Drosophila melanogaster: one gene and its partner. The protein of the gene in region 1 purifies or fractionates together with the protein of each later gene. This does not show direct contact. Each region holds a gene or a part of one and is shown in the gene's direction. Other genes may lie near its edges.

Evidence for each region. Proteins that work in one complex are often made in the same cells at the same time.
Region 2: the proteins of CG1671 (region 1) and CG8064 purify together in Drosophila melanogaster (affinity purification with mass spectrometry, with the first as the bait; one large-scale study listed by BioGRID). This does not show direct contact.

Annotation. Positions count from the first base shown.
Region 1 is NT_033778.4:9,846,460-9,851,153, forward strand, and holds CG1671 (uncharacterized protein), read left to right. Parts: upstream 1-1,601; 5' UTR 1,602-1,665; coding exon 1,666-1,691; intron 1,692-1,750; coding exon 1,751-4,088; 3' UTR 4,089-4,183; downstream 4,184-4,694. Other genes in the region: Prosalpha7 (proteasome alpha7 subunit), read right to left, coding at 272-446, 614-1,179, 1,238-1,258; PCB (pyruvate carboxylase), read right to left, coding at 4,678-4,694.
Region 2 is NT_033777.3:18,282,106-18,287,173, forward strand, and holds CG8064 (uncharacterized protein), read left to right. Parts: upstream 1-1,554; 5' UTR 1,555-1,628; coding exon 1,629-1,786; intron 1,787-1,850; coding exon 1,851-4,461; 3' UTR 4,462-4,519; downstream 4,520-5,068. Other genes in the region: CG14312 (uncharacterized protein), read right to left, coding at 966-1,252, 1,310-1,349; CG7131 (uncharacterized protein), read right to left, coding at 4,860-4,915, 4,977-5,068.

The DNA of each region.
Region 1 (4,694 bases):
AATGGCGCGAAATGCATCAGCTGTGAGCGATAAGGTTTTTCTTTGTAGCAATCGAGGTTTAATAGCTGCAGGCACATTCAAAAGGAACCAGATCCGATAACCAGCGAGCCAATATATTTATATCGAACGATAACTATTAAAGAATGAGAGTATAAAAATATAAAAACCTTAAATTTCACCCGATTTTGTTTATTCATTTTGCGCTTTAGGGAAATATAAAATTAACATTATGTATGAGGCCCAGAATTAGATTCACTGGCACACAAACGAACTAGTGCGTCTCATTGTCGCTGTCTTCGTCCTTGTTGGCCGCATCGCCGGCTTTCCTCGCCTTCTCCGTCAGTTCTGAGGGATTTATGAGATGTAGGCCACCGGTTACCCTGCCCACCAAACCCATTTCGAAGCGGAAGTCCTTGTCCTTCAACTCGTCATGGACTTTGTAGATGCTAAGACATAGGATAGATATGTTAATTATGAATAAAAACCTAGATTCTAAGTGCAATAGATGTCCCAAAAATGCTTCCTATTGTCAGAGCAAGTAAGTTTCCACTCGGAACTAGGATAAAGCCCGCCCGATTTTTGAAACAGTCCCTTTTTTTTGCTGTAAACGTACATTTCACCAGCGCTCTCCACCAATTCGTCGGTCCTCATATCCATCTTGAGCTTCTCCATCTCAGTCTTGGCCAGCTGCTTGGCCTTGCCGCTGGCGCAGGCGAAGTAACCGAAGGAGGAGCCGGACGGCTCGATCTTGTAGAGCTGTGGCCCCTCTACTTCGTCCCAGGAGGCGAGAATGATGGAAAGTCCGAAGGGGCGGACGGCACTGTACAGAGTGTAGGCGTGAACGTAGCCGGCGACTCGGTGGCACAGGTGTTTAAGCGGGATAGCCTGCTCAAATTGCTGTCTGTAGTTGGCTGCCTCCTGACGCGCAATGTCAGCCACAAAGTTTCCATCGGCCACCAAGCCGGCCACCGCCATTCCGATGTTCTTTTCGATGGTGAAGATGCGTCCGCCGGCGTCTGGTTCGTACAGTTTACTGGTGATGATCTTCTCCACGGCCAGCACCACGGCGTCCTTGCCCCGAATCCCGATTACGGTGCCGCTCTTCTCCACCGCCTTTGAGGCGTAGTCGATCTGGAAAACGCGGCCATCAGGCGAAAACTGCGAGGCCGACAAGTCGTACTGGAAGCGAGAGGGTGACGTTAGGGATCTGCAGATATGTAGTTCGCTGACCACTTACTCCAGTGCCAATAGTACTCATAGCGAAGACTTTGTGAAAATTTAAACAATTCAAACGCAAAAATTAGTTTAATTCCTTGGGTCGAATGCGACGATGATTTGACGGCTTTTACTTGGCTAGTGGTGGACAAAACAAAGGGGCCTATCGGTCAAGGAGGTTCGATAGTTTCGGAACGACTATCGTCAATAAAAACCAATCGTATACCAATCGCGATTTTTTCAGATAAAATTCGAATGATTAAAAATAAATCACCAATTCATGGTACTTTATTTATTTAGCACAGTTGAAGTTAATATCATTCTTTTCTTTTCTACTTATACATTTCGAATATCCCCTTACATGCTCTGTAAAGTAACATTTCGAACTAGTTCCGTTCATGTTCTGATCCGCGGCGCACGCGGTTTTTGTATTTATAAACAACGAAAATCATGCTGGCGGGTATCAGCGAGAAAAGGTAACATAAACTTAATAATTACCTGATGATTGCAAGACTACAACAATTTTAAAATCCAGCTATGCGGCGGAGGCCCGCTACACGAACTTCTACGCCGGCGGCGACATCGCCTGGAGCCCGAATGGCCATCATCTTTACTGCCTCAATGGCTCAGCTGTAAACCAGGTGGATGTGCAGACCTCCCAAATCCTAAATAGCTACGGCTTGTCTTCCCCGTCGGCGGATAACAAGAGGCCGGCGGAGCTGGACAATATCGATGTGGAGGAGGATACGATTACTTGCTTCGGGCTGTCACAGGAGCATCTGGTTACTGCCCATCGAAGTGGCCTGCTTAGGCTGTGGCAGCTGGACACTGGGAAGCTGGTGAAGCTGTGGAAGGCGCAGCACAAGGGACCAGTCATCCGAGTTGAGTTTAGTCCCTGCGGCAGGCTTATCTGCACCAGCGGCGGTGCAGATGCCACACTGAGGCTGTGGGACTACTCGAACAACAGCTGTCTGGGTGCCCTCAAGGATTTCCCTGGTCCCGCTTGGCTCCTCGTCTTTCATCCCAATGTGCTGCGCAAAGAGATCTACGCCGGAGGTTCGGATAACACTGTCTATGCCTGGAACTACGAGACGAAGACACTTGTGCACAAGATGCGAGGTCACCTGTCGCAAGTCACCGGCTTGAGCTTTAAGAGCAACGCGTCCGACTGCAATGAAATCGTGACTGTAAGCCGGGACAAGGTTATGATCGTGTGGCAATTGCAGGAGCAGTTGGAAAGCAAGCAGTTGAAGGTTCTTCCCTTGTACGATGAGCTTGAGGGAGTCGTGTACGCAGACGAGGGACAACTGATAATCGTGGCGAGCGGATCGGGCAAGCTGCAACAGGTCGACCCTAAATCTTGGAAGATCAGGGATATTCTTTCTCAATCTGATTTCCAAATTAGTAGACTGCTGCACTGCAGCGAGCTAAAACAGCTGGCCCTGGTCACTACAGAGCAGAATATTTTGGTCTACGACGTTGAAACCCTGGAACCCATTAAACACTTGGTGGGTTACAACGACGAGATCCTAGACATGTGCTTTATGGGCGAACACGATCGCTACCTGGCCGTTGCCACCAACAGCAAGCACTTCAAGCTGTACGACACGGAACACGACATGAATTGCAAGCTGATCGTGGGTCACTCGGATACGGTAATGTCCCTTGCTGCATCCCAAAATCTGCTGATTTCGGTGGGAAAGGACTGCAGCGTTCGGCTTTGGAGGCTTCAGCACGACAAAGATTGCTCGCTTGAGGCTCTGACTCAACAGGCCAACTGCCACACGTCCACTATCGGTTGCGTGGCCATGACGCACAACGGAGCTACTGGCTTTGCATCCGTGAGCCAAGATGGCAGCATGAAGGTATGGCAGCTCGTCAGAAGTAAGGAGGATCGCAACTCGTACTCTTTCAACCTGCGCTACGCAGCGCTTTCCCACGACAAGGAGGTGAACTGCGTTGCATATGCTCCGAATAACAAGCTTATTGCTACCGCGTCGCAAGACAAGACGGCTAAGGTGTGGCTGGCGGAGTCCAACACGCTGCAAGGAGTGTTGCGGGGACACACCCGCGGTGTGTGGAGTGTGCGCTTCTCTCCGGTGGATCAGATCGTGCTCACCTCATCGTCGGACTGTACTCTCCGCATCTGGTCCATCAGCAATTTTTCGTGCATAAAACGTTTCGATCAGGAGTGCACCATACTGAGAGCCGAGTTCCTGGATCACGGCAAGTTCATTATCTCCGCTGCTTCGGATGGCCTTCTTAAGCTGTGGAATATCAAGACCAACACATGTCTGCAGTCCCTGGACGAGCACAACGATAGGGTTTGGGCGCTGGCCGTATCCGCCAGGAGCAATCGGTTCTTTTACACCGGCGGCGCGGACTCCAAGCTGATTCGCTTCGGTGATGTCACTCAGGTGACGCGAAACGAAGCGCTGGACAAGCGGCAGGCCGCATTGGAGCAGGAGCAGACCCTACATTCCCTTCTGCACGCCCAGAAGCAGCTTCACAAGGCCTTCGTGTTGGCTCTGAACCTGGACAAGCCCAAAGCCAGTTTCGATATTATCAACCACTTTGTCCGCAAGCGAGATGAGCCCGGTCTCCGGCAATTGGTTGACCAGTTGAACGTTGACCAGCGGGTTGCGCTGCTGCAGCACGTCAAGGCATGGACCACCAACTCGCGCCATTCGCAGGCGGGCAACATGATCCTCAAGTACTTGATCGGAGATGCTCTTCTGGATCCCAAGGCGAGGTTCTACTACAATGGCAACATGGTCGAGGTACTCACTCCGTACGTCCAGAGACACTTTAAGCGGGTCACCGAGCTGAACAAGGATCTGGCTTTCCTAGAGTTCATTGTCAAGTGCATGTAGGCTTTAGCTTCGGAGCCGTTTCATTCATGATTGTTAACTTAATTCAGTTTAATTAATTTTAGGAAAAAAATAAAGTAGATAACCATACATTACATATTTGTTTCGAGATGTTTAATCACCAATTTCACACTACAAAAACCAGGGCGTTACTTTTTATTTTGTATAACGTTTATTACACAATAGTTAATATAACATTAATAACCACTTACGTATTTACTAGAGGGGGAATCTCGACACAGGTGTTTGCGAATTAAAAATTCCATAATCGTACAAATTTGATTCAAATGACTTGCGGGAAAAGCCCTACGACAAATTTACAAATATACTTGGGCACGAACTTATGCAATCCGATATATTTTGGCAGGGACAGCTAAAAAATTTGACCAGTTACTCATGGTCGATTGATCCTGGAAACACGGAAACATGAATGATTTTGATTCATATAAAAATAGACACAGGCGACTTTGGACAGTTTTATGATCAATCGAACTGACAGAGTCCCTAAGATTATCACTGTTTTCACTTAATTTTACATTGGGTGTGTGCGGTGGCAGCTTAGACAATGGACATTTTGATCCGGTGGCACTGTCTATTCGATAATCATAA
Region 2 (5,068 bases), on another chromosome or scaffold:
ATAGCCAACATCCAATCTAATCCAATCCTAAACATTTATCCGGCATCCACAAAGCGGCGCAGCGGCAGTTAAATTGCGAAACCAAACCTATAGTATCAGTTCATTTATAGCCATTTTTAATGTTCTAATCTACTCTGAAATTGTTTTATTCCGAAAATCCAAATTGAAACGGTTTGATTTATGGCCGCCTTAAACAACAAATTATTAATTACAAATAGTAGAACTGTTACGCTGTGCAAGAAATGGAACATTGCGAAACATAAACTAATAATATTTGAATTAAAAACGAAAAAACAAAGAAAAACAAACGGATATTAGTTATTATTTATCTACCAACAAATCTATCCAACTAAATGAAAAAGTAAAAAAAAAAAATAAAAAACATAACGATATATTAATGAAATCTACAACTCATACACATAAAATAGGAGTTTAGCGAACACTAATATTTAAGGCAAAAGGATATATAATAATAATGATCAAAAGGCGAGATGTGAGGTTAGCTAGCGAGTAAGCAAAATCAAATCCATGAGTTTTCGCCAGATATATCTGCGCCCCATCCCCCCAAGTGTTCCTTTTCAGCGTTTCGTGTCATGTCTTTTGTTTTTATTATACACCTGCGTTATATTTTGATGGTTTTCCATATAGCAATATCCAAATCATTTTCCAAACGCCCCATTTTCTTTTTTGCTGTCCATGCATTCAGTTTTCCCTTTTCAGTTTAGTTGTAGTCTAATTCGAACCAAACAAAAAACAATGGATGTGTAAAAAGTGATGAGACTATTGATTTTTGTAATGAGTTGAACTCCAATAAATGGCGTTGATTAACCCGAATGCAAAACAGCACACGTTCCAAGGCTTTTTCACTTTTTGATAGTAAAATTCATGCTACAATTTATTATTAAATGCAGAAACTCGTACATAATTGTGTGTAAGCGGAAAACCGCCATCGAATTTGGCATCGTTTACAGCTCCTCGTGGCGCGAAGGGAACTTCTTGAGTATGGCATGGTAGAGACTGTAGAAGGCGTACACCGAAACCGTGATGATCACCAGCAGAGCTCCGCCGAACGCGATGCTCAGGAAGTTTCCATCGATGATGCCCGCCGAGCGGTGGCGCTTGGTGGAGAATATCTCCTCCGTGGTCGCCGGGTTGTTTTGCTGCTGGGACGTCCGCTCGGCCATCAGCCGCTTCATGGTGCTCAGCCGCTCCCGCAGAACTTCCACGGACTCGGTGTCCAGGTCAGAGGTTCCTAGAGCGATTTTGTTTACTTTCTGTTCTCATTAAAATGAATATATGTTATTAATACCTGTCGACTGGGATGCGGAAGCACTGGGATAGGTAGACATATTTGGATCTCTGTTCTGTGCTATTTGTGAAAAAACTGCAGCTTGAGCTGGCCAAAAACAGAGTTATCTTAAACGTTTTGGGGTGGGTTTGTTAGATTTTCGAGTTTTAAAAGCGCAGGCGCGTAACGGAAATCGCGCGGCGTTGCCACCCAATCGCGCTGCCAACTGCTTTGATTTGCGAAGAACAAATCGATAGAAACGGCTGGCAATCGATTGGGAACCATCTCCAAACACGTGAAACGCGATTTTTGATTTACCTTATGTGTTTTGAATGCTGCAATGGGTTTAACTAAACAATATTTGGCCTACCGGGCTATAGACAGCTTTAATATCATCACCTCCGGCCGCGCCAATGTGAACTTTGCCGTTGTGGACAAGACAGAGGGTCGATATGTGGCCGCTCCAGCTGCTGAAAATGTGATCGTGTGGGATTTGCGGTAAGGCTATTTAAGCTTTTCCTTTACTTCGTTTTTAAACTGACATGAATTTATATTTCCCCAGAATGGGCGATCGCAAGCTGACGCTGCGCCGCGAAAAGTTCGAGGTCACCTCCCTGAGGGTCTCGCCAGATCACCTGCACATTGCCGTTGGCTATGCGGATGGCATGGTGCAGATCTTCGATCTCAGCTCGGACAGGTACTACGATCCCATCTGTACGCTGGCACTCCACAAGAACGCTGTTAGCATCCTGCGGTACGATTTGCAGGGCATGCGTCTGGTGAGCGGAGGCCTGGACACCGAATTGGTGGTCGTCGATGTGGTGGAGCAGGCGGGAAGAGCTCGATTGAGTGGCCACAATGCCGCCATCACGGACGCCCATTTCCTGCAGCGTCTGGTAGACGAGAGCATAGTGGTAAGCTGTTCGAAGGACACGCAGATCAAGTTCTGGAACCTGGAGACGCAGTTCTGCTTCAAGACAATCGTGGATAACCGCACCGAAGTCTGGGCACTGGCCTTTATTGGGAATCTAATGGTAGCTGGCGCCGGCGAAAGCGGCATGAATGTCTACCGCCTGAGAAAGCACGACGGTGCCATCACTGAAACTCTGGAGTCTGCAGTTGAAGGCCTGTCTATTGATGACGAGGACACCATCAGCCCCATTAGCGTGAGCAACTGCGGCACCATCCAGCGCGCTGGAAAGGGCCGCACCGTCAACCTGGTGACCGATCCCAGTGAACGCGTGATCAGCTGCCACGGCACTAATGATCTAATCGAGAACTTCTACATCTGCACGCCGGACGAGGTAAAGAAACGACTGGCTAAGCGTCTAAAGAAGGAGAAAAAGGTCGCCGAAGATGAGGGATCAGACGAAGCAAAACTGTCCACGGAACAATCGCTGAGCGATGAAATCAAGCGACTGGAAAGCATTCGTGCCAAGCAAAAGATCAAGTCCATAGATGTGGTTTTGGGCCAGAACCAGGAGCTGCGTGTCCTTGTTAGTTTGGCCAACAACAGTCTGTGCTTGTACTCGCTGGAGGCGTCTATCAAAACGCGCAAAGCAACCGATCCCAGCGCGAAACTACTTAGGTCACTTACTCGTCTGGGGCACCAGTCCGAAGTGCGATCCGTATGCTTCAGCAACGATTCCCTGGCCATTGGTTCCGGAGCTGGAGAATCCTTTAAGTTCTGGGATCGAGATGCCATGCAGTGCCTGCGTACTGTGCCAACGGACTACATCCTCTGTTCGAAGTTTGTTCCCGGCGATCGCTACGTCCTTCTGGGCATGAAGAGTGGCAAATTGCTCATTGTGGACGTGGCAGCGGCTGATATAGTGGAGGAGATTCCGGCTCACGAAGGCGAACTTTGGTCCATTGCCATACTGCCCGATCAAAAGGGTTGCGTCACTGGCAGCGGCGATACCACGGTTAAGATCTGGACATTCGAGCTGATCGATGCCGGCGAGGGTGCTGCCCAAACCAAGGTGCTGTCCCTGCTGCACAAAAACACACTGAAGCTGGAGGAGACCGTGCTCTGTTTGGCCGTTAGTCCGGACATGAAGTACCTGGCTGTGGGCTTGTTGGACGCCACCGTGAAGGTTTTCTTCCTGGACACCTTTAAGTTCTACCTATCACTGTACGGCCACAAGTTACCTGTGATCTGCCTGGACATCTCCTACGACTCCAATCTCATTGTAACAGGATCAGCAGATCGTAACGTAAAAGTTTGGGGCTTAAATTTCGGAGACTGTCATCGTTCCATTTTTGCACACGACGATTCGGTAATGAGTGTACAGTTTATACCCAGGACGCACATGTTCTTCACGTGTGGAAAGGATGGAAAGGTGAAGCAGTGGGATGGCGATAACTTCGAGAAGATTCTTACCTTACCTGGACACATAGGCGAAGCGTATTGTCTGTCCGTTTCTCCGAATGGCCGATATTTGGTCACCTGCGGATCAGATCGAACTCTTAGAATGTTCGAGCGAACAGATGAGACTATTGTGTTGAAGGATGTGCAGGAGGAGGAGCGAGAGCAAATGGAGAATGAGCAACTGGCCACGGGCGAGGACAACACAGTTCCCTTGCTTCCGGGTCTGAAGATGCCGTCACGCAAAACAGTGGGTTCCGAGCAGTCTGCTGAATCGATACTCGAATGTCTGGAGATATCCAAACAGTTCGAGCTCGAGGCGGAGGAGAAACCCGAGTTACATCCTCTGATGCAGGCTTTGCAGGTTAAGAATCCCGAAGACTTCCTGGTCAGCACCCTGATGAGGATACGTGCGTCCGATCTGGAGGAGGCACTTCTTCTACTCCCCTTCTCCACTGTGTGCGAAGTCCTCGAACGCCTGCCCACTCTGCTGACCCAGCGACCCGACCAACTGGAGCTGCTTTGCCGCGTCACCATCTTCCTGTTCAAGGTGCACATGAAGCCCATTTCGGCGGCTAAGAACATGAAGCCGCTGCTCGTCAAGCTGCTCTCGATGCTCAAGCGGGACGTTGGTCAGCTGCGCGATGTCTTAGGATGGAACCTGCACGGTCTGGCCCTGCTGCAAACGGAAGTGGAGCAGCGCGATGGTGTCCAGCTCTTCAGGGAGGCCACACAGACCCGCAAGAAACGGGATAAGAAGCGGAGAGAAGCCAGCAAGCGGAGGCTGCAGATTCAAATGGTTTGAGACGCAATACCCTAGACTTAGTTGTATAAATCCAATTAAAACGATTAGTTATTCCGTGATTTACTGGATTTCTATATTTCTGTGAACAGAGTTTAATTTGACAATGAGGAATACACCATAATTCATAAGCCATGTATTGGATCACCGGCAATTTTCTGTATATGCATATGGGATTGACAAAATCGGATAAAAGCGATGGTGCAGCGAAGCAAACGGATAGCGCCGCTCGATTAATGGATGCAGTTCGCAAAGCGAACCCTTTGACAAGCATTTACAACAGAAAACAACATATCTCTTTAGAAGACGTGGACTGAAAGATTTAGCTTGAACATAAAACGTAGAACTCGGGATGAGCTTGGGAGACGGATTCTTCAGAGCAACCATAATGTATTTCCAGGCTAACAAATGCCGGCTTTGGGAAAGGTGCCATCGTTAGCGCCAGTTCCACAAGGACCTGTTTGGGATTATGCATTTTTTTTTATAAATGCTAGGAAGTAAATCTGGTGATAACCTACCTCCGCAGCGCTGGAAGGCACCTGGCGGTCCGTAGCTAAGTTTCTGGATGGTACACTTCTCAATAGGTCCGGTTGGCCGGCAGTAGGATGTG